2 linked regions of the Oreochromis niloticus genome follow. The main gene of each other region encodes a partner of the protein of the gene in region 2 in a complex. Links are inferred from orthologs where the notes say so. Each region holds a gene or a part of one and is shown on either strand. Other genes may lie near its edges. The genes, in order: ap1s1 and ap1g1.

Region 1 (17,363 bases), on a different chromosome or scaffold from region 2:
GGAGCCATCATCGCAGGATGGGCACACTGTGAGCATAAGGGTTGGATGGGGTCAGAAAAAAATACTTGGGTAAGATATATTTTCTAAATGATGCTCAACTGGTACTAAGAAGCCCATTCAACACCTGCCTGAACAATTCATAGAATGCAGGATAGCCCCATGCTTACATACTATTTATGCCAAATTCTGACCCTCTCATCCAAACGTCAGATAAGAAACTGAAGTTCAACAGACCACACGATCTTCTTCTTCCCTATTTTGGTGAGCCCGTACAAAGGAATGGCACCCAGTGTGGTCTGCTGCTGAGCTAAAACCACTCATGAAGCCAATCTAAGGGAGGGAAACAGTGAGAAAAGGCTGAGGTACGCCAAATTACACAAGAACTGGAGAGAAAAATCAACAGGTCTCATGGTGTGATAAATTCAAATTTTCTACCACACCTTGGCTCATGTGATAACACATGATTAATAGTGGGTCAATGACCACCTCCTAAGGATCCTAGTCAGATGCCTGAACCAACTCAACTGCCTCCTTTTGATGTGGGGTGGGGGTGGTGGCTCTCAAAATGACTGTACTCTTCACCTGATCTGTAAAGGCAAGGCTAGCCACTCTTCTGAGAAGCCAATTTCTGTTGCTTGTATCCAGCATCAGTAGGGCTGTGCGATATGACCAAAATCTCATATCCCGATATTAAGACATCTATCGTCCGATAACGATATAAATCACAAAAATGTAACATTTTCTCTAAATTCTGTGAATCTTGGGCAGCTTGACTTGCGTGAAGTGTTTCCAGCTGGGCATCGCGTACCTGGAGTCGAGTCTTTTAACTGATGCATGAAACAATACATTTTTAGACATAGGTTGTAACGGCCGCCGTTTTCTTTGTGAGTATTTATTACACAGCGTGCTGCGGGGAAAAGCCTGTTCTAACGTTTGAGTCTAAGGTTTATTTTTTAACACCTGACGGCTCTTTTTTGCTTCTCATCTGTAAATACTCTGCATCTTTCTCGTGATTCAGTTTATTTTGAAAAGTCTCAACAGGATCTTGAGCTTTATTGTGAAAGGTTTATGTGGAAAATAAACAAGCGGACACGCCGTGGTTTTACCGTCGTTGTTGCTAACGACAACGCATAAAAACAAGCGCTTGTCCGTCTGTAATGTGGTTATATTAAATATAAGAGAAAGAGAGAACTTTAGGAAATTAATATAGCCACTACAGTGACCATCAAAATAATCAAAAAATATTGCCATAAACAGTTTATTTTGCAACACCACGAAACAAACGATAGCGTAAAATGAAACGACAGACGTTTTTATATCGTCATCCGATATATATCGTTATATCGAACAGCCCTAAGCATCACCATCAATGCAGCTGCAGCTCAAATCTCCCACTTCCCTTACTCATGAACAACACCTACTTTAACTCAGTCAGCAACTCGTCCCAGCCCTAATGGGCACTATGACCTTTTCCAGCTGAGAACCAAGGCTTCAGATTTGGAGGTGATAACTGTCATACCTGCCACTTACCACTCTGCTGTGAGGCACCCCAGTGATCTAAGAGACCACTCCATGATGAAGGCCTGTATCATCCACAAAAAGCAGAGTTTTTTCTCTGCTTTTTGAGCAAAGATGGAGCCCTTCTGCTACGACTATAAATTCTGTCCATAAAAAAAAAATCTAAACGGCATCAACGACAAAATGCAGCCTTGGCGAAGCCCATCAACCCCTGTGAGTCCAACTTAGTGCCTGCAGTACAGACAAAGCTCTTGCTGCAGTTAGACAGCAACATCCTATACTTCAGCAGCAGCCTCCAACATGATACCCCCCAAGGGACATAATCGAATGCCTTTTCCAAGTCCACAAAACACATGTAGACTGGGTGGGCAAACTCCCACGCACACTCAATTATCCTTGAGCAGATAAAGACCTGATCAAGCATTATGTGCAAGGAATTATTTCCACTTATTTTATTCCATTTATATTACTAAACATCAAGCAAAATTGCCATTGGTACAGACTTTTCTCATGCCAATTATAAAAAAAAAAACTTTTAGCACCAAATCACAGCAACAGTTGCCTCAAGGAGAAACTCCCTTTGAACAGAAAGAAACATCCAGCAGAACCAGGTTCAGGGAGGGGGAGCCATTTACCACAACTGACTGGGGGTGAGGGAAGGAAGAGCAGGCAAAAGACAAGTTGTGGAAAGAGCCAGAGGCTAAAAATAACTAGTGATTAAATGCATAGTGGTATATAGAGACAAGATGAAAAGGAGCAAAGAAGAAACACTCCGTACATCGAGGGAACCTCCCAGCAGCTTATTGGTCTGCCCATAACGGAACCGAGAGTAGAGACCGAAACGAAAATTCCCATAGTCCGCAATAGTCCAGCCTACAAGTGATAAATGTGTGAACTAGTTTTTCAGCACTCTGAAGCTGTGTCTCGATTGAGGGGCTCCATCCTTCGGAGGATCCGGCCTTTGCGGTCTATGTGGGCCGGGTCCTCCAAAGACCGAGAAAGCCGGAAGTGAGCGTTTGTGAAATTGGACAGTCTAGCCTTCAGATTTGCGTCACCAGCTGTCTCGGTGGAGTTTACTAAACTCAGCCGTCTGCTCCTTGCTATCTAAAATATAATATGACATTGGCGTAAATTCTCTACCATCTCACACTTCTGTTATTCAGTGTTATGTTTGATGTATATTGTAAAAAACTTTCACTTTAACCTCAGCCAAACCGATTTACTCAGGAACAAATAAAACACTGAAAAAAGCCAAACAATAACATTTTTAAGTTATCTGAGTGACTAATATATCATTTCTTCTGATGTGAGAGTTCTCAAAAGGAATAACATCTTTCTGGAACTCTGTTGTGTTATGGTCGGACCAAAACAGTAGCCCGACCATAACACAAACGACAGTAGAGACAATATAAGCTCCTTCACCGTAAACGGAGCTTCAGTAAGAGCAGAAGCTGTTGCAGTTCTTACGGGCAACCTTCAACTTTGTATTCAGGAGCCCAGACGATATCTGGATGAGGAAATGATCAATAGATGGGAATTTCATTTATCATGTATTCCATGGTCATCATGTTGTCTGTGTTTATTCCACAGTTGTTGTACCAGATCTTTGGCCCTTGTTGTGTAGGGAAGCAAGAATTCAATCTGTCCATGCTGGCATACTTTGTCAGTGTAAAGACATTCAGCTACAAATTTAAATTTCAACAGCACATCTTACTTTTTCTACATGACAACATTACAGAAAAAGTTCTGGTAGTTCACTGCCCAGACTGTCCTGTATTTACGAAATGGTTTTGTTTTTTTGATTGATGAAAAATGTTTTGTTTATTTTTGGGAATGAAAATTTCCATAGTAGATAGTGAAAAACAGGAAAGTTCCTGTCAATTAAATGTTTATGCATTACTTTGGTGTAGCATGAATGGCTGTAGAGGAAGTCTTTATCAACAGAAAAAACTGTTAGAAATTATTATTATTAAAAAAAAAAAAAAAAAAAAAAAATACAGTCAAAAGTTCAAAAATCCATCACGTTCCAAAGACTTCCAGTGGGCTGAATTGGTGTTTTTGCTGGATTGATTCTGGACCCCGGGCCTTATGTTTGGCACCACTGATTTAGTCTAGTGTTAGACTATACTTGTAGAGGGGATGGTTTCTTTAGTGATGGTCAAGGGTGGTTCTGTACCACATAAGATGGTTGTTGTTTCATGCAACAAAGTCTCAGGGACAATGCTTCTTTGGTGTAATTTCCTTCCCTTCACCGCAGCTGAACTTGTCTGGTCTGTTAAATCTCAAACCAGCCCTTTGCAGGCTGGTTTGAGATTTAACAGAGATTTTTTTTATCTTCAGTAGATGAATTTCCTCTGGAACTGGCATGCATGTCATGAGGGAGTCTAGCAATAAGTCTTGAACCATGTGACTGCAGTTCGATGTGGGCCTTTTTCTCCAATTGATATAGTATGCCTTCCAAAGCTCTGACGCAGAAAAGCAAATGTTCTAAAGCTTGTTGTGTCAACACTGTGGACTCAGCCATTAACTCTGCTGGGTGTGGCAAAGCCAGCTGACGTGGCTGGCCATAGTGGGAAGTAGGAGAGGCCACTGTGTCACTATAGGAGTATGCAATGTGTGGGGCTTCTTCAAATTTCAAATGACTCATAAGAATCTAATAATGTAACATTCAACAGAAAGACCTACTGCATCTTCTAAATTAAGTTGTTTTCCTTAGGCATAGCTGGTTTAAGTCCTTAAGAGGTGTTCTCCAACCGGGGAAGTCAAGGGAAGCAGGCCAGATTTGTAGCAACGTGCCCTGATGGTAAGAGCTCCTGGCAGTTAAGGCAATGCAAATCCAGCCCATGGCCCTGGTCATCGGGGCCACCCATATTCCTCCACTGATCACTGGAGCTCTGTAGTTAGAGCTCAAGGACAGTAGTTCACCCAATTTGCCAATGCAGATTGTTAGTTCATCTACTTGTTCCACCAGTGGGGGCTGGGCTGGCAGTGAAAGACCATCTACCACTGTGGTGGACGTGGGCCTATCGTCCCCATCTATACGAAAGCAGCTTCTCTTTCCGACAGACATTAATTTTGATGAAATACTCAAATACGTACAAATATGTAATTTTCCTTCCCACGGTTTCTTTCTTGGAGACAAAGCACTGCCACATCTCATCTTTTTTACATGTTTAATACTGCGTTACTAACATTCCTTTTTAAAATTTCTAAACAATAAAGGCTACTGCCTAAATGTATCACAAGTAAATGAACCTGAGAACCTGGCACTGGGATAAAGGCACTAGTGCATTTCTTTACAGTTTCTTGATAATTAGTGAAAAATCAACAGCAGTTCATAGCATGAAAGAAAATGAAACTGTAAATATGTACACTAGAAGCAACTGTCAGTAACATTAAAATGAGAAAAGATGAAAATAGTGTAAAGAAAGTACCACAAGAAGCAGGTGATGCTGTGATGAGTACAAAATGCAGGACTGCCCATGGCACTTTTACCTTTTATAGACAATCTTGAGGTCGCGCCATTCTAGAAAACTGCACATCTTTGGTTTGCGGGCCAACACTATCTGCATCAGCTCCCTGACCATCTTCTTCTTGTCACGCTCAGCTGTGGCTGTGTACCACTTCTGCAGTCGCAGCTTGCCCTGCCGGCTGAACAGCAGCATGAAGCGCATCTACATGCAAAAAAGACAGTACAGCATTTATGAGAACATGTATTCAATGTGTAAGTATATGTCAATACATAAATGTGACAATTACAATTATTGGTCCAGTACAGGAACTTTTCCTGTTAACTGCATTCTTGTGACCAATTATGAGTCACTTCATCACAGTTTTTTATACTTTGCTCTTTTTGTAAACATTATTATCAAGTCTGACATCATTAATCATTTCTGTGATCAAATGCTCTTTCAATTCCCAAAAGCAAAGAAATACTGGGACGTCATTAAGAGTTAAATATGGTCAAAATTATTTCAGCTCCAATAAAATAATCAGTGCGCCTGCCCAAGTGTTCCAACATCATGACAAAGAGGATAAACAGGAGGGCCCTCCTATTAATAGAGGCAGATGCCATTATATGGTAGGAAGAAGACACCAAAAACAGATAATTTGGTTAGTTATCAACATCTTGCCATGTGGTCTGGATTACTTGCTTAGAAAAAGTTCTGGTTCAAAGTTTAATACACAGTGAAATCTTAGTCAGCCCAAGAGAATCAAATCCTTGGTGACCCATAAACCACAGTGTACACTGAGTTTTTAGAAAATTAAACCATGTCAACAGTGCACATCTTTTAGAGCACACGGCAGCTCGTGTCTGCTCAAATAACAAAGCAGCGCACCATGTTTGAAATCCAGCACAATAGATGCTTGGACTGAGATGTGCTGCATTCAAAAATCAAGTCTATGACATTTTGTGAGACTTTAACTTGTGGTAAACATTTCAGTAGACATATACTGCAAAAAAGAGAAGAGCATGCCAAATTGTTTTCTCAAATGACAATAAAAAAAAAACCTTTCTAATCTCCACTTGGTGTCTGATTGTTATCCCATATCTACTTGGTCCAAGGGAGTGTCACAATGGAACAAGTAGGGAGTTAAGCCAGCATTATAATCTAGCCTTTTTAAACGATATAATGTTAAAATGAACCAGTCAAACCAAACAAAGAAATAAAAACAACTTCAGGGCTTTCTATAATAGGCTATTTAAATTCCAGTTCACTTATCCCATGCCCTCCAAATCCCTCAGTTGATTAATGCAATTTCTCTCTGATACATCCCGAGTACACTACTGAAAAAACACAAACTGCCAGTTCAAAAGTAGTAGGTGAACAAAGTGGAGCACTCAGAAGTTGAAGAGTCAGTTACCTTTTTCAGGTGCTGGGAAGACTGAATTAGGACTAAAAGCAAAATTAATAATGAATTTGGTCACTAAAGACCTGCACTAGGACGACAATCTTTATATATTCTTTTTGAAAGTCTATAATAACATAATGGCCATGGCAAATTTACACTCCTGTTGTATATGGCGAGTGTTTCATCTCATCATCCTATGCTGTTTTCCCACGCCATACTGGCAAAGAAAAGGGAGGAAGTGACATCAAATGTCTATAATATTTTGGTTTGATATTACCTCCAGACATAAACGTCATGTATTGCATTTAAAGCACTTAAAGCAAACACTTCAATCACATAATGAAACCACAGATATAAACTTATGCTGTAATGTGTATTACAGGTATTTTAAAACTTTGCAGACATGGCAATACTAATCCAGCATATCACTTATTATGTTTACTTCCATCTGCCTGCTACCAGTCTACAGTCTATTTGGCAGGCATGACTGTGGGAGGTATGGTTTCATAAAAGATGAATGTTATTGTTTCATCAGTCTAGCCAGTAACAGATGTCACTGTAGCAGGTAATATTAAGATCACCAGTCATCTGGCTCAAGGTTTTGGCCATACAGAGTTCCAAAAACAATTGAGCTGAGGTTAAGCACAAAGTTAGCCACATAATGAAGCCTATTTCATTACTTTATGTAGGCTGGCAGAAAGTAACAAGCACGCCATCACCTTCGTTGCTGACGATAACTAAAACCTAAAGATAAACGAATTACCTGCAACGAGGGCAGTCACACTAGTTTGTCCCGTGTCTGTCATGCTAAAGTTTGACTAACATCACACAGACCACAAGCTGCACGAGAGCTATATACAGCGTAAGAAAGATGAAGTTTCACAGGTTATGCTGGCCTGTTAGCTTGCAAGGCTATGCTGACAGAAGCCAGGTGTAGTTAGCGCAGGTGGTGACTTCCTGGAATCATACACCTTGATAGCATTAGCGTAGCATACCCTCCACATACACTTTTCCCTGCAAGTGAGACGTAATAACTTACCATTCTGTGGGGGTTTTAACGTTTGTGTCTCGTTACAAACGGACTCTACTCCCTCGTTGCCCACTCAGACCTACACCCGAACTAATGCCGAAAGTTCATTCCCGTGTGAGGTGCTCAACTACTGCGCTTGCAAAAAGCGGAAACCCTTCCACGATCGTTGTTTCTGCCAAAGCGCTTCCACATCCGAGGAGCATGCGCACTCCGGCACGTCTAACATGACGTTTATGATTTCGTCTCACTTCCGGAGGGTTCGAATGATTTTACAGTGTATCGACTTTAGTGTTACATCCTCACTGTGTATGACTGCGGATACTGACTCCCTGGTATAGCTTTCAAGTACGGACCTTAAAGCGGATAACCCGTAAGTTAGAGGGGAAATGCCATGTCACCAATTTAGAAGATCTCCATGTTGCCTGGAAAAAAAAATCTGCTCAAAAAAAGAAGAAAAAAAAAAAAAAGAAAATCGGTAGGATTTTTCATCGTCATCATTCATTAAACACCGAAAAATCCCAGGTTTCTCTTCAGCACTGTCAGAGCTCTGCTGAGTCAAGCATTCCTTTAACTTTAACTTCATTAATTTTTTTTAAAAATGAAATTTTATCTATTGAAGAACAAATACTCACAACCATAGACATACTATTATTTTAAGCTACTTTAAATGTCATTTATATTTATTTATATCTGTCTGAAATAACTTTAGTAATGGCTTCCTCCAGGTCATCAACGTGTCCATTAGACCCCATTACCCATTCTTACCAACTGCTCAAACTATTACAATTAGTAAATGCTTTAATCTTGAATATGATCATCTATCTCTATTAATAGGCTATGTGCAATTAAGGTGGCAATAATTAAACTATTACTTAAAAAGCAGTCACTTGATCCAGCTGTCTTAGGTAATTATTGACCAATCTCTCAGTTGTCAAACAGCTGACAGATCATCTGCAGAGGAATGGTCTATTTAAAGAGTTTCAGTCAGGTTTCAGAGCTCATCCCAGCACAGAAACAGCTTTAGTGAAGGTTACAAATGGTCTTCTTATGGCCTCTGACAGTGGACTCATCTCTGTGCTTGTCCTGCTAGACCTCAGTCCATCGTTAATACTGACCACAGTATTTTATTACAGAGATTAGAGCATGCCATAGGTATTAAAGTACGGCACTGTAGGGGTTTGAATGATATCTGTCTGATAGACTCTGTTTTTTCTTTCATGTAAATGGAGAGAGTCCTCTTTACACACTAAGTTTAATTATCCAGTCTTTAAGTGATGACGAGATGAACCAAACTGGGTTCAAACTACTCTGTGTTTAATAAGGCTGTTGTGTTTTTAGTTTTAAAGTTTTTTTTAAAACTTTAATTTAAAGTTTTAATTTTTTCTGTTTTGTTCTATTTATTCTGAACGAGCCCCTAAAATGTCAGTGATCACTTTCAGCCTCTCTCAGTTTTTATTACCACTGTTCATTTTAAAGCTCAGTTTTTAAAACCTTATGATGTAACTACAGCCCAGCCCATGCAGCAGTATACACCCTGACCTTGTATAATGTGTGTGTAGGGACCAACACATACACTGCATTTAACCCATTCACCCAGTGAAGCAGTGGGCAGCCACCAATGCAGCACCCAGGGAGCAGTGTGTAGGGACCGTACCTTGCTCAGGAGTACCTCAGGGTAGCCGTTCAGTGGATTCAAACCCCCAACCTTCCGATCATGGGGCAATCACTCTACCTACTGAGCTATCTCTGCCCTATCCCTGAAGTTTGGTCCGTTTACAGCATCCTGCCATGCGATTGCATTTGTCCCTAACCATCGGGAACCCTCACGTTAACTTTTATCGAGTGGAAAAAAGTTTTATCCTCCAGCTTCACTGTGATAATATGTTTATATCATGCTAACCATAACTGTGTTTTAATTTTTTCAGAAATCTCTCAGTCAGAACATGATATATCATGTTTAGGTGGAAACTAGCGAGCTAACTTCCTGCTAACATCTAACTCCGTTAAACTTCATAAATTCTGTTTTCACAGATGCCTGGTACATTAATATGTATCATTGACAGAAGGTTTGGGTGTGTCTCCCAGCACACTCTCAAAGCATGAAGGAGATTTTAACAGAACCGCTCCTTTGTCACAGTAGGAGCAGAATGAACACTTTTTGGAGCCTTTGAATTCGGCCCTCTGTAGGTTGAAAATCTTCATTTCCGTTGAGATTACATATATATATATATATATATATATATATATATATATATATATATATATATATATATATGTATACATGGAAGTTAATACATGGTGTCACCACTTTTATTCTTCAACACAGTTTGAACTCTCTTAGGCAAGATTTGTGATTTCTTTAATTGCTCTTCAGGAATAATCTCTAAATTTCTCAAAAGACCTGTTGAAGCTCTGCTTTGGCTGTTTTTTGCCTGTTCTGTGTCAAGATAATCCCACACAGATTCAATAATGTTGAAGTGCAGGCTCTCAGTGTGTTCCACTGGGTGTTTATCTATGCTTTTTACTGCATTGGCGGTGTGTTTGGGATCATATGATGCTGAAAAATGAAGACCTCTTGCCTCATTTTCACTCCAGTTCTTGTGTAATGTTTCCCCTTCTTAAGAATGGCTTCCTGACAGGTTTTCTTTGCTTTGGTGAATCAGTGTCGGGACCCCACCCCACCCCTATATCTTGCTTTCAGATACTGTTTATCTACTGTAGATAGATACAGATTTTTTTTTAGACATGCTTTTGTCTTCCACTTGTCTAGTTTCCTCAGTCACTGCACACCATGCTTGGTATTTCAAGTTTTCAGCTAATACCTATTTTGCACCTTAATGGTACAAAAATGCTGTTTCATGCCAAACTTATGTTTGGCAGGTTTAACTAAAGAAATGGGAACATAACATGTCTGTTATGTGTAGACACAATACTGATTTGTTAGATGCCTTTTGATGCTTGAATCAGGGGGAAAGCAGAAAAAGTCAGTGTTAACCTTTCAAAGAACTGTTCAAAGACTGCAACATTGTAAAAAATATAGTAGTTTAATAAATATAAGCATAGTGACAGAAATAAAAATGTAAGAACAAAACAACCAAAAAATATGAAATATAATTTTTTAACAGTAATATAAAATAGTAATATTAAAATATAACTCTTTATAAATACTAATGCATCAGCGTCCCTCCCTTTCAATTAAATCACTATCTTTTGTATCAGAAACAGGTGAAATACCTCATATGTTCACTTTCCTTTATATCGCATTATGTTTTATCAGCCAGAAACATTCAGAGAAATAAATAATCTATAAAGAAATATTTTTTTAAACAAAATCTCTTTCAATACTGTTCTAAATAAACTTTCCAGTGATTTAGTTTGCAGTTTCAAATATGTCATCTGATTTAAGTAGTATATGTCAGATATGTCATCCATTCGATGGCCATTATGTGGAATTTTAGTAGTCTCACGCAGAGAGTGGGCTCAGAGTGGGTTACTGTTGAGGCTGGTTGAAGTGACCCATGAAAAGAACAGCACCTAAACATAAAAGGGAGAACATTAGAGAGCCACCCTACCTGGATGATCAGCAGTCTGGTATTGTAAAATTGTATTCTAGTGAAAGGTTACCTGTGAGTTTGTGCTGGATAAGGAAAAGGAAAGGTCGGTCTAGAACGATCTCCTCTACTGCCATACGAGAAAACATGACAGCAGCTAAGAACAATGAAACAGAAAGGGGGGGAAAGGTCAGTGTTGGGTTTATGTGGGGACCCCATTTGGACCCCTTACATTATCTTCAAATAGTTCTCCTGATACATTTTTTTGTTGAAAAGTATTTGTTACAATTTGATTAATCACAAAATATGATTAAAATATTTTCTCTGCATCTATAAATCAATAAGACCTCTGCTTATGTTGCCTATTTTCAATATCCCCTTTTAGCTTACATCATATTATGTTTAATACTTAGACAAAATTTAAAAAAAAAAAAAATCAATTGTATCGCCTGTGCCACAAATAAATATATATAGAACTGAAAAATGAGGGTACCTGTTGATGCTGCTCCTTTGGTTCCCTCTTCATTCACCTCAATTTTCAGTTTTTGCAGGACCTTTGACACACACAGCCTTTGATCCACTAGAGGGAAAAACACAAAAAAACAAATGAATAAATTAAGAATAAAAAATTAGATAAAAATATGTTTGTTTGTTTTCATTATGTAGTTTTTTTTAAAACCTTCATTTTTTTTATCTGCTTATTTATAATCCGTCATTAAGGCTTAAAATGCTTCAATTTGAAATATGGACCGTCTTTATTGACAGGTGACCACAGGCTTTTAAGGTGGTTTTAATTAAACCATTACTTTAAAAGGATTTTATTTCTTCATATGTATATATATATATATATATATATATATATATATATATGTATATATATGTATATATATATATATATATATATATATATATATATATATATGTATATATATATATGAACCAGTCTTTCAGAGATGATCACTCAGTTTTTTTTTTATAACTGCTCTTTCAAGATATATGTATATATATCTTGAAAGAGCAGTTATAAAAAAATACTGAGTGATCATCTCTGAAAGACTGGTTTATTTAAAAAGCTTTAGTCAGGATTAAGAGTGCATCATAGCACAAAAACAGCTTTAGTGACGGTCATGAGCTATCTTCTCACAGACTCTGACAGTGGACCTCATTAAAACACCACTGGTGTTAAACAGTTCAGTTGTTTGAATTGTATCTGTAACACACTCCAATTTGTTCATGTAACAACACAGTACACTCATGACTCCAAGTTTGTAAGGAATCTTGGAGTCATTGCTGACCAGGATATGTCAGTCAGTGCAAACAGTAAATGGACTGGTTCTTATATAGCACTGTTCTATCTACCTGAGCACTCACAGTGCTTTACTTGTCTCATTTACACAATTCATATGCTTAAGTGCTTTCTAGCTAACATTCACACTTAATTATACTCCAGTGGATGCATCGGAGAGCAACTTGCGGTTAGTATCTTGCCTGAGGATATTTGGCATACAGACTGGGGTAGCTAGGGATCAAACCACCAACTTTCTGATTGGTAGATGACCTGCTGCACCTCGGGAACTACAGCTACCCCGGAGAGATGAACATTTAACAAAAAGGTTGACTTACAGGTGATGCGTGTGAAGTCTGCAGAAGCTGGGTTGAAGATGTCTCCTAGTCCCATGTTGACTAGCGCAGTCTTCAAATTCACCTCAGAGTCCAGAGTAAACCTTCAAAATACCAGTCTTTCAGTTTCTTGTGTTTTCTTGTAATAATCAATATGAAACAATATAATTTATTGTTAGCTCCAAAGATACACTCTGACCAGCTCTCTCTTACCTAGGCAAGGCCAGCTGCCTCTTGACATTCCTCAGCTCTGTCCTCCACTGTCGGATCTTCTGGCTGCTCAGGTCTGCACTGAGCTTGCTCAGAGGAACTTCAGGCTCAAAGGGAGACACCAAGAGCATGCTCAGTAAGTCTCCCTCATATGGGACCTCAATCACATCGTAATCCACTCCATCAGCAGTTACAAACTCTCCTGTTAATTGAGGGGAAAAGAAAGGCCTTAATAAGTAAATACAGATAGAGACTTTAGTCATCTGTGGAACCGTTTGATAAACAAGTGCAACGACGTGGCCCACCATAGTTGAAGCGGTTGGTGATTCTCATCATGTGGACTGGCACAGTGCTGCCATTGGCACAGTGGAACATCCTCTCCTGTGTCAGTTTTGGGTCAAAGGGAATTTTCCAGAGGCCCTGGAAGTGGAGCGCATTAAGGAGGACGAGGCGGGTCTGATCAGTCAGAGATCCAGATTGCAAGAATTCAGGGATAAGACCTGCAGAACAGATGACCAAACAATTTCAAAGATGGATGCAAAGATAGATGTCCGCTTAAATCAAAGCTGATGGAGGTTTCAGAGGGGTTTGAGTCTGCTATCTGAATATACCTGCAGTGTGATCTGAGACCCATGCATTGATAACGCTGATGGCTTGGTCTGGCTTTGTGAAGTCCACCTGGTGAGGGTGGGTCTTGAAGGCCTTGGCCAAGTTCCGGTGATATCTCTTCTCCAGATTCATCTTCCTCTCCACCATCACCCCGTTGGCTATTTCTACCCCCTCCTCAGTGGACAGGCCCTGCTGCAGAAGCCACTGCTGCCGAAGCATCCCTCGCTCTGCGGGAGTAAACCATAGGAGGCTTTTTTTCAAGGTTATGGTCTTGACATGCTCTAATCTACCAAATTCACAAAACTAGTCACCTCACTTGCAGAAAGATAAAAACTGCTCCCTCTACTGTTTTTTTTATCTTTCTTTAACTTAGTTACAAACTTCCTATTGGAAATGTTACAGTATGTGTAAACAGTAAATAATGCCATATTGTTGTCCTGATGCTAAAAACTTTATGGATGTAATCTCATTATTTCCTGTAACCTGTTCCTGTTGCTTCAGTCCCACTTTGTTGTCTGGATCTATATGTCACTCACCTCGCAGAGAAAAACCCATAGCTGTAGTTAAGGCCTTGCTGGTGTTTCCGTTTGCACCAAGCTGAGCCATGGCCAGAACAGAGGCCACACCATATGGGGACAAGACCACATTCTTGTCTGTAGACCCCTGGGCCAACTGGTAGAAGACCTTCAGCCCAAAATCAGTCTGCTTATCCTGCAGAGAACTCAGTCCTACTCTGCTCAGAGCCAGCACCAGGAAAATATATACGCAAAGCATTCTGGAAAAGAAAAAATACAGTTTCATCAAATATGAATAGTGGTGATTCAATATGCAGCAGATACCTCTGTATCTGACAACTGCAAGTATAACCTTTCTACTCAAACAGCTTTTCTCGCAGTGATTGTACACTACATCACTAAAACTGATACATTCTTAAGAAACAGATTTTGTATCCATTTAAAGAGGAGTGGATTTTTGTTTAACCGCTGAACCTCGTGTCAGCAGATCCTTTCCAATTCTTAGTAAGAAACTGCACTGGATTACACAATGGTACAGAGAAAGTTTAAGGAGCTGTCAAAAGGTGGCCATAAAATGATGTCTTAAAATAATGACTGTAAAAACTTGCATACAGAAAGGCTCAAGAGTATGAAAATAAATAAAAACCGAAAGAAAACATGTTAAACTGGTAGATGTAAAAGAAAATGAATATATTAGTCCACTCCTAGTGTAGATTTCAGTCTTCTAACTGGGCTTCAGTCAAACACTGACTCAGGATAATGAGATTTAATAATAATAAACTTAATAATAATAATTCAGGATAGGATTTATAACAGAGTCAGTTTGTCCTTAGGAACTGAATGTAAGTCAACATAATAGACATCTATATTAAAAACAGCTGTGCACGTGTGATTGACGGTGTAATTTATGGATGCGTACAGGATCAACTGAAAACTACTTAAGAGGCTAAATTACACTTTATTGTACTAAATAACAATGTCCCTTGTAATTCCTTGTAATGCTGTGTGTGGCTGTATGTATAAGCTAAAGTCTGAACTGTCAAGTTCAGGTCCTTACCTTGTAGCTGGGATGTGTCCAGTGTAGTATATCAGAGCCCTGTTTGTTCAGGTTGGATCTTCTCTGCTGCTCCCTGAGTTTGAAATACTGACAGCGCTTCATCTATTTATACTAAAAGACTGCCCCGTCCTTTGCACACACATAAACACACAGTGTTGGAGACGATGATGTCATCTGACACTGTCTGGACAGACTTCCTTTTCATGAACACACATGTCCACTCACCCTCCCTCTCACTTTTTTCCCTGTCTCTTTTTCCAATTTATCATTGAGGATATGGAAAGTCGCTTAACTCTTTCCCCACACGGACACACACACACACACACACACACACACACACACACACACACACATTAGTCTGTTCTTCCTGCTCATGCTAGAGCAGTTAGTCAGAGGTGAATGCACAGTAATGTTTCTCAATCACTGATTTTTTTTAGAATGTCTGAATGTAATAAAAATTGCTTGCTGACAGGCAAGTGCTGCACACTCGAATGCTCTGCATTTTTCTACAGGAAATATGGCGTGGAAGTAAATGTGCTATCTGTTGTTTGTTTTTCTTTGGAAGAATATTTTTGACTTCTTTTAACCTGTCACAGGTTAAAAACATATATAATCCAGTGCTGCAGTGAGTGGTATACATGCTCATGTGCTCTCACTTTGGGTGGTCATGCATCAGAATTCCAAATTTGGTCACAGCTTTTAACATTCCTTATCCCACTACTCACCAAGCATCTGGTAGACAGAGATTTGCATTTTACACACTTTTTCCGAGTCTTTCTACTGAAGCTTGTGGCAGGCTAACAAAATGTAATTGAAGCCACTTGTTATATAGAAAAAAGCAAAACCAAACAGCTTCCTGGACCTGATTTTGTTGTGGAGTGTTTAAATATCCATCACTAAGAAACAAAGAAACAAAAAGGACTAGAAGATGTTAAAACACTGCAGATACCCAGGAAACACAGAAACTACCAAACTGCACCTCTTAATCATTAGAATACAGTGTCAACCATTTTCCTAAAAGGTAGGACCAAAACAATCTGTGGATTATCCAGAGTAACAGAAACATAAGAATCACCAAAAATACAAAATAAGTATAAAATAAATAAATACAAATGGATACAACAGCCTCTTAGAACATCAGAAAGAAATGAGATCGATTAAAAGGAAAACCTTGGACTCCACTTTCAGCGCTGTCTGTGAACGAGCACTGCTATTTATTTTGTTTTCATCTGTTTCTGGCTCACTTGTGTTAACTTCTATAATTGTGACCTCTCATGCTGTTGAATGAAACACCAAAATTGCAGCTGATATTTTATTCTTAATTATTTGTACCTGCTTTGTATTTAAGGTGAACAGATGTTGTGCTGTTGGAACCATCGTTTCTGCGAGGGGACCTTATAAAACAAGCCTCATTCACACAAGCTGTTTCATCCTTGAGAGCTTTTCTATCTAACCTACACTCACATTGTGGTGGATGCACTGGGGGAACTCGGGGTTAGTATCTTGTCAAAGTATATTTGGCATGCAAACTGAAGCATCCAGAGATCAAACCACCAACCTTCTGATAGCAGATGTAGACGATTTGCCTCTTGAGCTATACTCACACTGAAAAGATTTGCAAATGTATTTTCATGAATACCTTATTAAAAAAGAAAATCAGTTTAAACTAGTTCACCTTATATAAAACATTCAAAATAATTCCAAAGAAAAATACAAACCTAGGCAACAAATTTTAATGACAAAGTTTGGGAACCAGATCTTTCTTTATTCTAAGATAACTGTGACAAATGTTTATGGTCATTGACAGTGTCTGGTATAGTTTGCCTTGGTTTTTAAATAGCTGTAGTTTTCTGTCTTGAAAATACCAGCTATTTGCTTATTAAGCCTGAGAAGCTCCCACTACTAATACCCTGGGAATGTGACACAGCCACAACAGTGAGAGAATAACAGCAGTGAACAATGGGATGACGAGTCAGTTATCAAGCCTTCGGGATCACCACCGTTATTTTTACACATTATGCTGTTTTTGCTTTAGACAATGTTTCCTGAAATATGAAGATGCATCAACACATCTGGTTACTGTAACTTGGCAAAAGCCCCACAACCCCTGAGGATTTAGTAAATTCCATGTAAGGCTGTGACTGGAAATTTGGTTTGTTCACCCACTCAGTTCTCTGTGAGAGAAAACAGGAATGAACTGTTGCCAAGACAGCAAATAACATCACACACTGACTCTTAGTTCTGTTATTGCTTAGCTATTGATTTGTATTTATTCCCACGTATTTTTGTCCTAGTTATTGGGTTTATTTGTTCCCTCTGTGTTTGGCTCATCCTTCTGTATCACTTTCTCCATGGTTAATTTTTTTATATATTCATGTTTTGCTATTTAGTTATAGGTC
Region 2 (16,643 bases):
TTCTGAAGAACCCATGCAGCCTAAAGTACACAACGCCAGGCCCTGGACATACTGTGTGCTGTGATTCAAATCACTGGTGTGGGAGAAGAGAGTCAAATAAGTCACGGAAACAAAGAATCACTTTATATGCTATACCAGAGAGGAGCATATGAATACTTCACAATCTTATGAAGACTATGAAGAAGTCTAAGAAGTAGATGAAGAAGGTTTTGCAACTGTATTCAGAGGACCATAAGCTCATATTTTAAGTACTGGATTAAGACGGCATTTTTTTTTTTTTTAATTTAAGTGTGTGTGCGCATCTTAACCCAGTGTAGCCTCCACTTACTTCTTAATGCAATTTGTCATTAGGAGATGGACATCCTGCCTCTCGTCCAAAAGCAGCATAGCTCCCAAATAACCTATTCGTTTGTCAGTGAACTTCTGGGATGCAATCAGCTTCAGACACTCCAACTAAAAGGAAAAAAAACGCGTCATCAAACTATTCAGAGGTGCAAACTTAAAACTCCTTTGTATACATACTGCCCTCCCAGCATAACCAAACATACCTGTCCAAAGTGCGCTGGGTAGCCCAACATGTGCATATAAAGCAACTTTGCGACATTTCTGCAACGGTACGTATTGTCTTCCTCTCTAAAGGACGAGCGGATAGCAGCACACTCTTTCTGGATCATCTCACGCTCCTCTGCCTGGGTCCGTGCTGTCCGGATAGTCCGGATCAGCTCCCGCAGTCTGATCGGAGCTGGCATTCTCTGGAAAACACAAAGAAAGGAAACCAGTTGGCATCAGAACAGACTACACTAACACAGAAAAGCTACAATTCTGAAATTTAAGACAAATATAGAACTCTCCAGTCTGCAGCATGGTATGTCACTTTTTTACCTAAAATATGACAACGTATGCTAGAAACCAAGAAAGGGTTTTAGCTGCTGTGCATGTATGCAGAAATGTAGGTTTTACAGGTACCGATCAACAGTCTAGACTTCACTTCCTAAAATGTTCGCTGAAACTACAATCATAAATTTTACTTGGGATAAGAATAACAAAAGGATTTTTATGTTTTTAGGAATAAAAAGTATGTGTCAGTTTTCCAGTAAAACAGACTTTTTTTTTTAAAATCATGTTGTGTAAGATTTGACTTTAGGTGGAAACTGTGTCTCATTCGTTTAGATCTTTTAAAAAAAAAATAAAAGTGCAAAGGCAAAGAAGAAATGGTGAAATTTAAGCCTTGCACAAAGAAGCTTCTAAGCAAACACAAGCTACAGAAAGATGTTTAAATATTTATGAAGGCACATGCTTGCTTGAAAATCAACTTTTATGTGTTTGCATCTACCAATTACCCGAAACTACACTTTACAAAAACAGATCCAAGAGCTACAAAGATGAAAACATGAATTGCAAACTGCATGTTAAATGAACTCTTCAATGAGGCAAATCTAACATTAATATGAATATTACAAGAAAGCTGTGAGCCAATGCAACAAACCTCGGGGAAGGTTTTGCCATCCTCCAGAGGAAACTCACCAGGATATTATCCATACTTTATCAAGTATACTTTCATTTTATACAAGCACAGAACACTGTTTTGTTGGCAGGGTCGGAGATTTTTTTAACATGTTAGGAGAGAGCTATTCTGGTCTGTACCAGTGAGTAAATTATCTTAAATGACCGGGGTTTAATGATTACTACAGCACAGAGACTGAGAGCAAAGTCAGTTCAATTTATTTAATATGCAGCCCAGCAAATGTCAGGTTGTTGGAGCAGACGGGAGGCTTGGAAAATATGCTCAGGCTAGTTTAATTTAACACAATAACATTTTAGAGAACATTAAATTTTTTAAGTTTTTAACTTGGTTTATTCAGGTAATTTTACAATGACCACACATTTGTAACAACACATTTTAACTGTCAAATAAACTGGAAAGTTATTAATTGTGGTGTTTTACTGAGAAATAGGTACATTTTATCTCCCATCTAATGGAAAGCTTTCATCTGGTAGGATGCAGGACATAATTAAGCTTCTACTGCAACAGAAATGATGGTAATTACTTGATGAGCAAAGCCATAACTCTATCCAACTCCAGCTATGCAGTGCTGAAGTGGGAACATAATGCACTCTGACATATGAACCAGAGCAAAGAGCTGATGGCATAGCAGATCCACAACATTTTTCAGGAACAATCTCAGGGACCCATAATAATCACTGTATTGGTTGTGTTGCACACAAACAGTGACTTCGCCACAGTTCCATACCATTTACACCAGCACTGAGGGCGTGAGTACTTGATGCAATATTCCACATACAATACGTGTTGCCAGAGGCATGCACTGAGGCACCACTCCTCTTTTTCAGACATAACCTTCACATCAGCACTGGTACAGGAGGAGAAGTTGTCAAAATCGGGAAAAAAAGACATCTTTAAGTTTTTCCTTTTTTTTTTGCTCCAAAGTTTTTTCAAGACAGACTCCTTTTCCTCACACTCTCTTTGAAAGCCTCATTCAAACTGATACAACATTTCCCTCTGTATAATCTGTAAACGAACTTCTTTACTGATACAATATTATACTGCTGGTTAAAAACAAACAAACAAAAAAACCCACATGATCGTAAATTCGTGTTTTCAACACTGAAGCTACAGAAACAGAAGTGCATGACCGGCCAAAACACAAAAGCACGGTTCGCGCCAGCAGATGTGACGTCACTTTTGGCGTGCACCGCTGTTGCAGAAGGTGAGAACAGCAAGTTTAATGAGCCTGTCAGTCCTCTAAATGTGGGACTGCATCAATTAGTGCTTTATAAAATAATCTCTACAACCTTAACCGAGTAGGATACAGTAAAAAGATGGTTAGAAGTCACAGGCTTTCCTTGGTTTTATCGTCTAGATCAGCGATTCCCAAAGTGTGGGCCAGGGACCGCTGCTAGGCTGTGAAGGTACTGCAGGTGGACTGCAGTACAAGTAAGTGAATTAATTTAAGTTGCACTTAAGTTTGTGTCCAAGTGGTAGGTTTGTCACACATTGGCCTGCATATGACTGGTTAGCATTACCAATTTACAGCCAACAGCCTTTCGCTTGTTTTTGAAGATTTGAGATTGGCTGGTTTTTAAGTGGGCCACAGCACTCTTGACTTTTGGAAATAGCCGATCTTGATAAACACAAGGATTTTAATAACATTCACAATACAAAAATGATTATAATTTTGTTTCATAAACAATCTCATACCAGTAGGAAAAAAGAAGTTTTATAAAATATTGACACAACGTATTTTTTATTCATTTTGTAGTCTAGAGAGAATTTATCCCTCAGAGGCGATTACTGCTGTCATGACAAGTATTTGCTTTTGAGTTTTTGACTTTTTTCCTCCTCAAACATCTTAATGAACCATAAGTGACACTGTATGAAACAAGAAAAACAGATCAACCGTGTGGCTCTATTAAATCATTACACAAACACATAATGAAATACAAGCCTCTGATTTATCCACAACAGCTCTGTCATGTCTTATGGAAATCTTATGTTGTCAGTGTAACAAGAAATGTACAATCTCTGGCCGTTTAGAACAAGCTTTTATGTAACCAAATACAAACTTTACATCTGTCTTCAATATACCTGATTACATTGGCCAGTATTCAGTGCAAGCTAGATTTTTTTCATCTGAATGAATAAAGAGGGGGAAAAAACTCCTTAACATTTCATTATTAACTCCAACACTTGTGGGATCAAAGGAAATCCTCTGAAATTATGCCAGTCTGAAGGAAATAAGGATACACACACAGGAGGAATGAGGACATCCTTTGCTGAGTAAGGTGGTGGCTTGTGGACAATCTAAGAATTCACTTTGATCAAAGAGGAATGGGGAGGGTGGTCAGGCAAGGCCACACTTTAATAAAGCCAGAGACTTACTGTTCATCTTAACACCGTTTAAATTACCTGCACTGAATGGACCCAGTGTTGGGCTCCATTAATCATGGCTCCCCGACTCTTGCTGTGCTCATAATCAAATGTGTACACATTAAAGAACGTAAATCCAGCCACTGCTGAGAGCTGATTAAATTACAGTTTCACATTCTTGCAGTTGCAAAACAGCAGCACATTCTTCTACAAACAAAACAATATCAATTTTAATTGCAAATTACTGACATTGCCTTCAGATGAACAGTGTAGTTTGCCTTTTCATCCACAGATGAATGTGAAACTGCAGTGGGGAAGCGAGGTTGTTCAACACTTGTCGAGCAACAGCTTTTAGTTCACTTTATTGTTCCTCACTACAAAGACCAAATTTTGTAAAATTGTTTCTGTTCTTATCAAAGGTTTTTGGCCTTAAATGAGTTTCGGGAGGCTTAATTTACTAAACACATACTTTGTTTTCTCCTTTAACAAATAACCAGAAATAACAAGAAAATGGAGCAACTTCTATTTTGTAAGGCAACAACCCCTCAAAGGCCCATTTCGAGCTAGGATAAACCGTGATAATATTTATATACAAGAAGAACACCTGTTATACTGCATCCAGATTGCTTTGGACATTTTTACACTCCCCAGACCATATAAAAGCCTAACACTATGAGTTATCGCATGCATCTGCTGACATGTTTTGCATACACTGTGAAACGTTCATAGAAGAGCTAACCCAAATCTGTTTTCAAAGAGTCTGACAACCAGCAACAGGTTAAAAAGCACGTAACACTTCCCATTTACCACAGGGAGCAGTCACCCTGTCGACTCTGAGACATCAGTCTAAAGATATCGAGACACAAAGCACCACTTAATTTTTTTTAGTTTGTTTGTGGCTCTACATCATATTCCTAAATGCCACAAGCATGGTATGGATAGAAATAGAAAGCATGATGTAACATCCATTTATGCTGTCTTTTTTCCCTTTTTTTTTAAAGAGCTGCACATTTAAAGTAGACAAAAAGGTCAGACAGCTCCCAAAAGAACCATATACAGAGCTGTGACTGGCAAACTTTGGCAGACTGCATAAGGTTTTGTTTTTTTTTCTTCCTCTAACCATTCAGCTAGACATCAAGACGTTCTAAATTAAATCATACCAACACAGACTATTCTACTGCTTCTTTTATAACCAACTCGGCTGGTCCTCGGCTTTACAGAGCTACAAATAACTGATAATACTACACAACACTAAAGTTCAAACATGAGTATCAGCTTTGACATGGATTACATTTACACCCTGGTTCCTATGTACACATTCAAATGTTGAGTACTGTACTTGTGCACAGGGGAAGAAGCGCTCGTAATAGTCAAAATATTCTGTCAGGTGTTTTACATGTACACACTCCAGACCTTTATGGTTTTCCAGATTTTGTTTTCCTCTCTTAGCAAACATGCAGAGATCAAAAAGCCTGGTGATTTCTACATCTATGTGCAACTGCAAATAGTCATTTCACTGTTTGCAGCTACCACGCCTTTCTTCTACCACTTAGAAGTTCTTAACCTGCTGAAAACAACACTGAAAATAGAGAAATTGCTTATTTCTTTGACTGATGGTCAAAACAGCCATCAAAGAGCCAATAATGAGATCAACTTTAAATTCAGAGACTCTGAAGTTACACAGGAGATATACAAAGATCCGTGTGTGCCTTCACCATCAGTTGGAGTCAGTTAAGCTAAGCACTTCTTAATTTAGCTTTGTCAGCCTGCAAATTGACAAAGCCTGCTGGAAACTAGCCCTGCTTAGAATGGGTCTTTGGTAAGCTTTTCCTGTTCAAAACTAATCAGAGGCAAAATGTACAACGACCCCAATGCTAAAAGGAGGAGGAAAAGAGACAAAAATAACAAATGGCATTTACAGTACCTTATTTATCACTAAGTTTGTGTGGCTGTTTACTTAGAGTAAAACCATAAAGACTGATCAGTTTCTGTCCAAACAAGACACCGAGGCAGTGCTAACTCACTCAGGACTTAGGTTGGCCAAATGACATTAATGTGGAGTCAAAATGAATCCTAAACTGGAAATACATCAAAAGATCTTAAATAGCCCTGAGGCAAAGCCTGGAGCTATCTGATTTCACATTGTGTGGGGCACTGATATGCAGACACAGTGATCATGTTTAGTTGCTTCAGTGCTGTGTGATTAATGCACGCTAACCCTGCTTATAATGCACCTACTCAAGTACATTTTATGCATGGCATCACTGCCATTAGAGGTAACGGTTAAGTGTTTTTAATTAAGGTCATAACTGCATGTTTCAAGCACAATATTATGCACCATTCTATAATAATGCATCCTGGCTATTCCTTTGCTACAACTAAATATGACTTTTTTTTATCGTTAACTCTCACCCATCTATCCCATGTAACAGACAATACATGTAAATAGAAAAGGTAATGCAGGACAACATACTCCATATTTAGTTTTACAAAGTGAAGCCAGTAGGAATTGAATATGGCTGAAATCTACAGTACTGCGTGTGACTTGACGGTGAGGAAAGTAAAATTATACATTTAACAGGTTCATTTTCATTAGGCCTTCAACCGTAGCAGTACAGTTGGTCCCGAATCTCTCGAAAGCCCACATCAAGCGTACAGATAAAGTAAACTGCACGTGAAAGGCGTTGCATTACACCTGGCTTGTAGTTTACCAAGATTGGTTTTGTGTGTCGCTGCCACAAACAGTGGACCTGAAGAGCTTACTTCGACCTAAGCTTGTGGAGGCGTAATTTACAGCTCCTGTCAAAAACTGTAGAGAAATCACCCATACTGTACGTCACCTCATTTGCTCACTTCCTACTTGCACCTGACTTCCTTAACACTTACATGCAAACTGATCCTGGAAGATGAATTAAACTCGGACGCTGACAACGCAGTTATAAAAAAGCGCGTGTCTAAGTCTTTCCTTCTCATTTAACAGCTTGTCAACACTAATTAACCATCTCACGAAACTGGACAAAAACCCAAGTCCACGTCCTCAAAACACCAAGCTAGCTATCGTTAGCTTCCCTGGTATTTCAATTAAACGCTAACTTATGGATTAAACGCTTACAGTTTGTTAAATATTAGGAAAGTCTAACTGTATTAATAACCACGCCGTCAAGCGTCACATGCTTAATATGACTTAGAAAACGCAAATCACACCTCTGAAGAGCCAGCTAACAACTAGCTAATTCAGTAGCATCTTAAAAGGGCAAGATATCATGATGACACTACAGGAGTAGCTTCATCTTAGCTGGCGCTGTATTACATTAAAGTTTACATCATCGGCTGTATACAATCAGAGGCAGGCCATTACATCTGACTCTGATCGCCGATTGATCAGGACATAATGCAGTTTAGGCCTTCTTGAAGCATTTGGATTATCAAGCTAGCGTAGCTACCTGACCATTAGCTTGCTTCTTCATTACCTTAACCGAATACTCTCTGAATTAAATGCAACTTGTGCCCGCTAGTTAGAAAGACAGGAAATACCAAATTGTCACTGCGCGTTGCCTTGATGACTTTGATTTAGTGGACACAGCATACTGCTGGGCTACACATCCCCAGTCCAGCAAGGCTATAACTATGCTAAACATGCTAGCTAACTTAGCACAGCCCCGGTGCACTAAGGGCTGCGACTTCCTATGCAGCGCCACAGTGACAGTTGTCAACGTAAATACAGTCAAACCGCGGACAACTACTCACACGTAAAGCCATTTCCCCAAATTTATGCCGACATATTGTTGCTAGGATGTACTTACTAGCCGTAATGATGCCAGAAAATGACTGGAATCGTCTCTATTAGCAATGGAGGGAGGAACACACTAGACATGCAAAATGGTGGCTACTCCAGCCTCAGCACATCTACCGCAGGCGGAGGGTTACACTGACAGATCGCAAGGGGTTCGCGAAAGAAGAGCTCAAGTTTATCATCAGCGTACAGTAACGTTAGCTGTACAGGAGGACTAAATCACAGTCTGTGCCCCTTACTCGAGACTCCTGCCTCATATGTTCACTGGACAACATGGGTAATAGTTGAATTATGTCTTCATTATGATGGGAGATGTAGGTAGGTGACTGTACTCAACCCTTTCTTATCATTTACTAATTGCTGTGTGGCTTGTTCGCTTCCATCGTTCTCACAGTAACTATAATGGGCTAACGTTAGGCTTGTTATCATTAGCCAGCTAGCTGATGTTATCCTGTTGTACTCACTGACTGGATATCTAAATAATTGTGCATAACGTGACGTGCTGTTTGCGTGTGAATGTGTGTCATCTGCCACTTGCCTTACAAAGGGGATTTCATGACCTGACGAGATTATTTTGTTGAGATGGCATATTTTCGCTTGAGCGTGCGGAAGAGTACATTTTCACCCGGTCAATGTGGTGCTGCGGTCAGTTTACTCGTGGCAGTCAGTGATGACGACTACATGCAATGTTATGACATTGACAGTCCAACGGTTTGTAGCGACATCTAGTGTTGACTGTAGGATATGCAGTTAGAGAGAGCGTTTATAATGAAATTACAAGTGTCATGATCAATTGTAGCACTACTTTTTCTTCCTATTATGGCTAGAGGGAGCACAAAAGTATCACAAACTGGGCGAGAGGCTCAGAAATTGTAAGGCTTTTGCAACAGAAAAATACCCTCAGCTTTGTCAGTGTCCAATCAGTGGATGCATGTCCTTGGAGTTTTATTATGAATATATTTGTTTATTCTAAAAAGTAAATGTTCATGTATTTTTTATTTATTTATTTGAATTAGCACTGTCACCTCACAGCAAGAAGGTTCTTGGTTCAAATTCAGTCTGGGCCTTTCTGGATGTACTTTATATGTTCTTTTCACATCTGTATGGGGGGTTCTCTCTCTGAAAACTCTTCACTTCCTCCCACAGGTCAAAGACATGCATGGAGTTAGATTCACTGGTGATCTTAAATTAGCTGCAAGCGGGAATATGAGTGTGAATAGTTGTCTCTATGGGTTAGCCCTGCGATAGATTGGCAGCTTGTCCATGGTATACCCTGACTCTATGACTGAGATAGGCTACAACTGCCCCCCTTCCCATCTCAAATTAGATAAGGAGTCAAGGAAAGTGAAGGACTGGATGATCATTTTATTTAGCCTATAAAAGTACCTTTTATCCTATAGGGTTATCTATACACTTCGGTGGTAAGCTTAAAAATATATCCCTGTTTATCTAAAAATGTCAAATTGAATGTATTTATTGCAAAAATTCTCCTATGGGTCCCTAGCACACTCCCTGGACTGTGGCTACCTGCGACTCAGAATTGGAAAGTGGAATAAAATGAATGAGTGTTAGTTATTTAGGTTGGCTTTTCCAATTTTTTTTAGCCTCAGTACTTTTTGAGAAATGTACTCAGATCTGTCATTAATCTTTATTTAAACCAGACGGTCTGACTGTGCCACAATACTTTTTCATCCATCTGACCAACCGCTCTCACATAATTTCATTGTGTAAAATAAAAGACTTATATTGTATGTTGTCAGTTTCTTCATTTGGCCATACAGCAGGAAAAAAGTTTACTTTGTCACTGTGACAGGATGCAGCTTCCTGTTGTATGTTGTGTTTGTACTCTTTGTCTAATGGCAACATTAACTCAAAAGTGTAACTGACTTATCAAATGTGTAAGTGCAAAATAATTGCTTGAACATTAATTTCCCATTTCTATTTAATAAAAATATTCATAATACAAGAATATGATTAGAACAATAATTTAACCTAAGAATATTATTTGACACAGTAATCCCTTAAGGTCCTCACAGATTATGGGTTTGTTTTTATGTTTTATTTATTTATTTTCGGTAGATTTCAGACGCGCGGGTGAGTTCTTATGATAGTGTTTATTGGGGGTGTGGTGTGCTGAGTGGTCCTTGGATGAATATTTATTAGTTATTAGTTGAGGTGTCATTGTCAGGTTATAGTTACGTACTTACAGAGCTTATAAAGTTAAATAGGAATCATTGCTTCGTCAAAACCGCCAACAGCAATTTACTTACTTACTTTAAATTGATATTTGAACATGGTCGGGTTTTTTTTTCTCCCACACGACCTGAATGCAGCATAGTATCTTTCACTTGAACTCCCCTGCGTCCCTACACATCCCACAATGCTGTTCGACGTTAGCTTCATTCCTTTTACGTTTAGATATCAGCTGAGCTCGTGCTGCGCTGCAGTTGTGCGCGGGTGCCAGCGGATCGGGATCGGAGCAGCTCGGAGCTGCTCGGAGTCTCTCTGTCCGGGCTTGGACATCATCTTAACCCGATAATCGGCTGAAGAAGGGGCTTTTAAAAAAGACACACAAAAAAAGACCGCAAGAATGTGACTCTTAAATGTGCCCGATTTTTTTTTTATTTTTTTAATCTCCGAAAACGACCCAGTTTCTGATCTAAACGATTTGATTTTTTAATATTATTATTTTCTTCATCATCTGCTCCCTCTGTCCGGAACATACTTGGACCGTCCGGGGTTAGGATATTCTCTTTTTTTTTTTCAGTTGTTTTTTTTTTACCGGTTTGGGCAGTAATATGTCCAGGCGAAAACAGACCAACCCCTTCAAAGTTAACTGTAGGTATTTCAGGTATTGTCTCTCTTACTATTTCACGAGTTTTATTGATGACACTTGCGCTATCCGTGTATACTTGGGTCGGTTGACATGATCACGCTGAATTACTACCAGCTACGAGGCTAGTATTGTGAGTTTTCTCTCTCTCTCTATCTCCGTGTGTGTGTGTGTGTGTGTGTTGCTTGTTTGTTTTATCTATATTTGTAGGATATAAACATTGTAACTAATGATATTTGTGTTGCCAGACAGCTTTTAAAGAACCACGATTTAGGGTCCCATAAAAGGCAGTTTGGGGTTCAAAAGTTTTTTATTTTTTGAGGTAGAGGTAGGTTTGGGTTAGCACTTTAATTGTGATGTTTAATGTGAGGGTAAGGGGTTAGGGAGTATTTTAACTCTATGAAGATTGTCCACAAAGATATGCATGTGTATCATCGTTTAAAAATGCAGTCCCAGGACACCTACTGTTGCAGGAACTACCACAGAATTAGTTTTGAGTAATTTGGCAGGTGCTTTTGTGCATGCATTGAGGTTTGGGTTTATTTATTTATTTTAAATATTACAGTCCTGGTGACTTTTTCTTCATATTGAAGGCCAAAACCTTTTTGGAACGTGCCAAAATTTGTATGACTGGGAACAGGTTTTGCCAAAATAACAGATAAAGCCATGAAATGTGGCAGGTTTGTAGTTGACGCCAAGCTGGTAGACTTGTGTGATCCAGCCCATGAGTACTCAGTAGTCCTATAACTAGAGACCATCTTGCAGTGGGATCACACCAGTTGTGACACATGCCAGTATACTGACATTTAGACTCATTAGTACTAGTATTCAGGACTCATGAGTTGGACCACACCCATCTTCTGACTTAACCGTTATTTCGCTGAAGAATACACATATGTAAAGTTTTATGTCAGCACCTCGCACAGCTTTTGTCACATTACTGCACTGGCAAAATTTGCCCACAGACAGATATACAAACAACTGTCAGCATATTTGAAATTCAGTTTGAGGTATCTCTATGGTGCATTTTACCATGATGACGCACACAGAATCACAAGTAGAAACCAATAATAGCTACTCTATCATGCTTGGTAATAATGCAGTAATAACTACCATGCATACTTAATGCCAGCGTGTTGACGGGTGATGCAGCCACTTTGATCCAATCTTAGTGCGGTCCCACTTTTTTTCTTTTTTTTTTCTTAGCCCTAATATTTTTGTTTTTAACAATAACTGATTTAGGTCTAATTTGACCACAGTTATTATTTACAGGTATGTGAAAACAAAAGAAACAGGCATAAAATGGGCCATAAATACAGTGAGAGCAAACTCAGGTCAGATGCACTCAACAGACTAGAAAATCAATAGTGACCGTCTTGCAAGGTTTTTCCAGCATAATTTTAGTGTTCACCACACCACAGAAAAACCACCCGCACAGCGATAAAACTATTAGTCCATTTTTATGCAGGGTTAAATTTAGTCTTTAACCTGACTCGCTTTTTCATTTATCAGTTGTTTAAAAATAACTAAGATATGTAAGATACCCAATACTCTTGCCTTGTATGTGGCATCATCCCCAAAAGGCCAATTTTGAGCCAGGAAAAACCTCGTCTGGTGATCAGAAGGCATTACTACACTTTAACGCAAATACTCAGTACTCGGGGAGCCGCACCACACACAATCTCAAACTCGGCTTCATTTAGATCTCATCTGTAAAGTTTTGTATCTGTGATTAGTACTGTTGTTGGCACTGTCTTTCACTTTAGTTCAATTTTATTTATACAGTGCCAAATCACAACAACAGGCTACCCACAGACAGACAAACACCTACCAAAGTACTCACGCACATACAGGCACACAAGCTTATAATAATGCAAGCTACACTATTGCAGCATGTAATGATAAATAACTGAATCTGTTACATAATATGTGAAAGAGCACACTCCTGGTACATTTTTAAAAATAATTTAAGTAGCCGCTATCACTTGTTGGTGCTGATTACAGGCTTAAAAATATTTTTTATAAATATCTCTCCTTTAAGGCCGATAAGCTTATATTCACTAAAAATGTTGTGTGAAAGAATCTTTCAGTTAATTATCAAGGCTTGTGGCTAACCATGTTTCTGGGTTCAGTTTTGAGATGTTATTTTTGTCAGTTATCTGCTCATTTAAAAGAAAGTATGAGGCATTTTTAAAAAACAAAACAAAACCTATGACTAAACCATGAACAGAAGGGACAGAGGTTTCAGCTTGTACAAACAGTAGCTATGTGTGCACTTGATTCAGTTTTCTCTGACAGCTCAGATTTAGGACAAGATTGCAGGAGAGCATTACTGAGCACACAAGCAGCAAGACTTCCCTTGCGTTGTATGCAAGAGTGTTTCTGTTATTTCCCTCTTTCTCCTTCCTTTATTGAGTGATACATCTAATATTTTTCTGCTACACTAGCTCTTTTCATGCTTACTTTCTAATTCTATTCAACATCTTAGTTTCCCATCCCAAACAATAATTTAAGATTTTAATTAAGATTTTCTTTTAATGGTAAGCAATCATCTGAATAAACAAACATCTGGTTTCTGTTGTTTATTTGTGATGGTTTGCTGCTCATCTGTTTGATATTTTAGCTAAATAAAAATTTCTTCCATTTAAAGAAGGGACCTTGGGCTTACTGGTCGCTTAAAGTGTAATGCATGCTGACAGTAAGGATTGCTGACATTTATTGACCAAATTCTATTTTAAAATAGTGTCATATTTTTATAAAGCAAAGATAAATTTATTGAAGCAGATCTCAGGAGCTCTTGGGAGACCCTCTAATGTAGATATTTTGTTGGTGACTCATCTTCTACCAGGATGCTCCTGTCAGTGCTTAGCCTGCTGACCTCTTATCTTATGCTAGTTTTTGTCCACTGAAGGGGATTGCCCAGTGTAATCTACTGAAGAATGCTGCAACCCTCCTTTCTAAAGATAGTTTGTTCAAACTGCTGGAGAAATACATCTCACACTTGCTGCAGACCGCAGTCATCCCTGTGAGCTAATGAGCTCATTTGTTGCTCTGAAACACCTTTGAGAGTGAGCGAAAGGCCTCAGGAGGCCCCGAGACTGTTGTATAATATATTTTTTTTTAATTTTTACCCAGATCCATGACACGAGAGTGTGAGTGTGAGTGCAGAAGGACACCTTTTGTACACCAACTTTCATTCTTCCTCACCATGATTTGTTTTACCTGTCTTTTCTTGTGAGGTATGAATTGCATTCAAAGAGCTGTCCCCTTTGAGTGGGTCAGACCAGACAGACTGACAGACCAGACAGGCAGGGAGACAGTCTGACAGGCAGGCGGGCTGACACACATGCACATGTTCACACACGCAAAAATGCACACACTCAGTAGTACGCACGCACACACACACACACAGGGAATTCCAGACAATGATACAACAGCGGTGTTTGTCTAGCTGTTAAGTTTGATGTACAACAATACACAAGAAGTATTTTGTTTTGAGGTGGTGGTGCATACCCTTGTGGTGTCAAGTGGATGCCTGTCAGGGAAGTACAGTATATTTGTGTAACGGTATATGTGAGGCTTTGGTTTCATCATTTTTCTGTACCTAAATGTAGAAGTTCTGAAAACCTTTATTAGTATTAATTATAACAAATAAGGTGTTATTTCAGAATATTTCACATTATATATGTATTGTTGATCCAAATATGAAATTGAGTTCTCGGGTGGGGGGGCTGTTATGAATCCAGCTTTGAGTCTCGTGTGGCTACAAGGTGTTTGTTAGTCTTGTAGCTGAATCAAAATCCTAATCTAAACATGGAGCGATCACTTTTTGTTGTGTTAGTCAGGAGCAAACTAAGTTGTGAACATTTTTTGTTAAGAAAAGTGTTTAATCACTCCATCTCCATCCGTTTTCTGCAATATTAGGTCAGTGGTTATTCGGGGTGAGAACTGATCAGATGTCTGGCCCACCGTCCGTGTTCTCCTGAAAGTCTGTGGACGTAAGACGGGGGGGCCCCAGTACTTCCTGCAGATTCAGACAGTGTTGTGTGTCTGCATGTGTGCGTTTTTGGAGGGGATGGCTGCTGAAAAGGAGAAGGAGGGGCCTTTGAATTCAGCAGGACCCCCATTGCTCTGTGTTTGAGTAGAGTTTTGGCATTCTGTCTTTTGTCTGTTTTGTTTTGCGCGCTACCCCTCCGTCACCCTACCACCCCCGGCCTCCCCCCCCTACCAGCCCTCTCCCTCTTGTGTGTGTCTCTTGGCTGATGAGTTTGTCTCTTTGTCTGGATTCAGTCAGACACTGCGTCACCTCCTGCCTACAGACACACAGACTCAGAGATAACATCGCAGTGCTAGAGACTGAGGGAGCGAGGAGGGTGGGTAGTGGTGATGGTGGCGGCGGGGGGGAGCAAGGAGAGACAGATGTACAGACAGAACCGTAGCGTTGGGGGGATGGGTATCTCTCACACATCAATCATTGGCTATGCGCCGAGAAGCCAGCCTGTTGTAGTAGTTCACAGTTCAATACTCGGACCCACTCTAACGAATGCTTGGATTTCTGTGGGAAAAGTGCCCAAACTGTGTTCACATACCAACTTCTCACAAGTAGCCAAATGACTAGCCTTAAGATTATACTTCTGTCTTGCTCACGCACACACACAATAAAAGAGAAAGTGTGTGTCTGTGCACCGTGCACAGTACCTCAGGATTGTGATGAATGCTGTAATTACTTCTGCCAGTCTCAGGTAACTGAAGTCAGGATCTCTCTCTCCCATCTTCTGATCTGTGTAAATGGAGAGGGAGCACACAAGGGAAGAAAATTGGATTTTAAGCTATCATTAATTTTCGCTATCTCAAGTGGTGATGTTCCTATGTGTGAATGCCAGAGGAGTTTTCACCAAGACTGCATCCAAAGGAGCAGTGCTGGCAGTTGAATGAACGTTTGCGGAGTCCAGTGTAATAAGAAGAAAAGTGAAGGGATTGCATCGCATCCTGCAGCCAAAAAGAGCCGCTGTGTACAATAAAGTGTGGCATCGCGGCAAGTGAAATGAGCTACATATGGGCTGTCATGGTGCAAAGCTTTATCCTCCCCCTCAGAGCTGATGGTAAAGATATAGAAGTAGTCAGAGCTCCATATATAAGCAGGGAGGACAGAGGGCGAGCCAGGCTGTTCAGTGTGTGGGTGGTACTGAAGGAGAGAGAGAGAAATGGAGCAGCTAGGCAGTTAGCTGGAGGATAACAGTGCAGGCTGCTACCCCCGTGGGACTGCAGCATGGCTGTCGGAACAGCTAGCATGTATCTGTGAGTGTATATGTGTGTAAAAAAAGTGGGGGTTGGGATGCAAGTGAAGTAAATGTGCGTGCATATATGCAACTGGGCTTGTCTCGCTGCTTTTGTATGAATCCCAATCCTTGTTGTATGGGTCATATAAAACCAGATGAATCTGCTAAGAAGTTCTCCTCAAGCTGATCGCACCCCCAGAGTAGAAAAAGGTAGAATGGTTTCAATCATTTACTCTCTGGGACAGCTTTCTATCTGTTTTGCTCTGATTATAGGTTTTTGTTTTCTTTAGCGTGTTATATTTCTGCAATAATCTCAAGATTTTTTGCATTTTTATTGGATGGTGTGATCCACATTTATTAAGTATGATCAAACCATGGACCTTCAGCTATAGGTGAAACCACTTCTGTTAAAAGATTTATACCTTCTTGTGATACACTACAGAAGCAGATGCTGTAACGAAGTTGCTATGGAGATAAAGCTTTCATATGCCGGGTACAATATATGGGTAGAGACAGTTGCTCAGAATTGTTTTCTTTTTGTGCCCAAGGCAGGACAAAATGTCAAGGTATACCTATAAAAGAAGCCCCATTTGGAATATCATCAGTTCTTCTGATTGTGCAGTCAGATGAAGGTATTTTTGAGCAAAATGCCTTCAGTTCTTATTGTGCTTTACTATAGGCTGCACTAAACTCCACTATAATCTGATTTGGAGAAATTGTGGATTTCTTTTTATCAGATTCTGTCATACACAATCCAACAGGCAGTCTTGTTGTCTCTGGTTCTGATCCAGCATCTGCTGAAGTGGAGACAATTTCTCTCTGAAGGTATGTCAGGATTTCAGGTGCCTC

Evidence for each region.
Region 1: the proteins of ap1g1 (region 2) and ap1s1 are in contact, whole or in part, in a crystal structure (PDB 1W63), measured with the Mus musculus proteins. The link is inferred for Oreochromis niloticus from reciprocal best matches to the Homo sapiens genes AP1G1 and AP1S1. Residues at the interface, in NP_001288140.1 of Mus musculus: Leu7, Arg8, Ile11, Arg12, Arg15, Leu54, Tyr55, His57, Met58, Gly60, Tyr61, Lys78, Phe79, Thr80, Arg83, Ile84, Leu87, Met90, Leu91, Asp94, Glu95, Thr115, Phe117, Leu123, Cys124, Gly127, Cys128, Tyr152, Lys155, Lys156; in NP_031483.1 of Mus musculus: Met1, Leu14, Arg15, Leu16, Gln17, Lys18, Trp19, Leu21, Ala22, Thr23, Asp25, Arg28, Lys29, Arg42, Lys45, Met46, Cys47, Ser48, Phe49, Glu51, Lys56, Gln74, Asp75, Asn76, Glu77, Leu78, Ile79, Leu81, Glu82, Leu83.

What each region holds. Positions count from the first base shown.
Region 1 is NC_031967.2:1,991,813-2,009,175, reverse strand, and holds the start of ap1s1 (AP-1 complex subunit sigma-1A), read right to left. Parts: upstream 7,617-17,363; 5' UTR 7,415-7,616; coding exon 7,412-7,414; intron 5,193-7,411; coding exon 5,014-5,192; intron 1-5,013. Other genes in the region: serpine1 (plasminogen activator inhibitor 1), read right to left, coding at 10,893-10,936, 11,027-11,110, 11,447-11,533, 12,577-12,677, 12,787-12,985, 13,089-13,283, 13,395-13,619, 13,929-14,166. UniProt on the Homo sapiens protein: Subunit of clathrin-associated adaptor protein complex 1 that plays a role in protein sorting in the late-Golgi/trans-Golgi network (TGN) and/or endosomes.
Region 2 is NC_031965.2:21,842,302-21,858,944, forward strand, and holds the start of ap1g1 (AP-1 complex subunit gamma-1), read right to left. Parts: upstream 8,328-16,643; 5' UTR 8,221-8,327; intron 8,001-8,220; coding exon of another isoform or gene 7,985-8,000; exon of another isoform or gene 7,960-7,984; coding exon of another isoform or gene 7,956-7,959; exon of another isoform or gene 7,693-7,955; intron 753-7,692; 5' UTR 750-752; coding exon 549-749; intron 454-548; coding exon 329-453; intron 74-328; coding exon 1-73. Other genes in the region: znf821 (zinc finger protein 821), read left to right, coding at 10,481-10,520. UniProt on the Homo sapiens protein: Subunit of clathrin-associated adaptor protein complex 1 that plays a role in protein sorting in the late-Golgi/trans-Golgi network (TGN) and/or endosomes.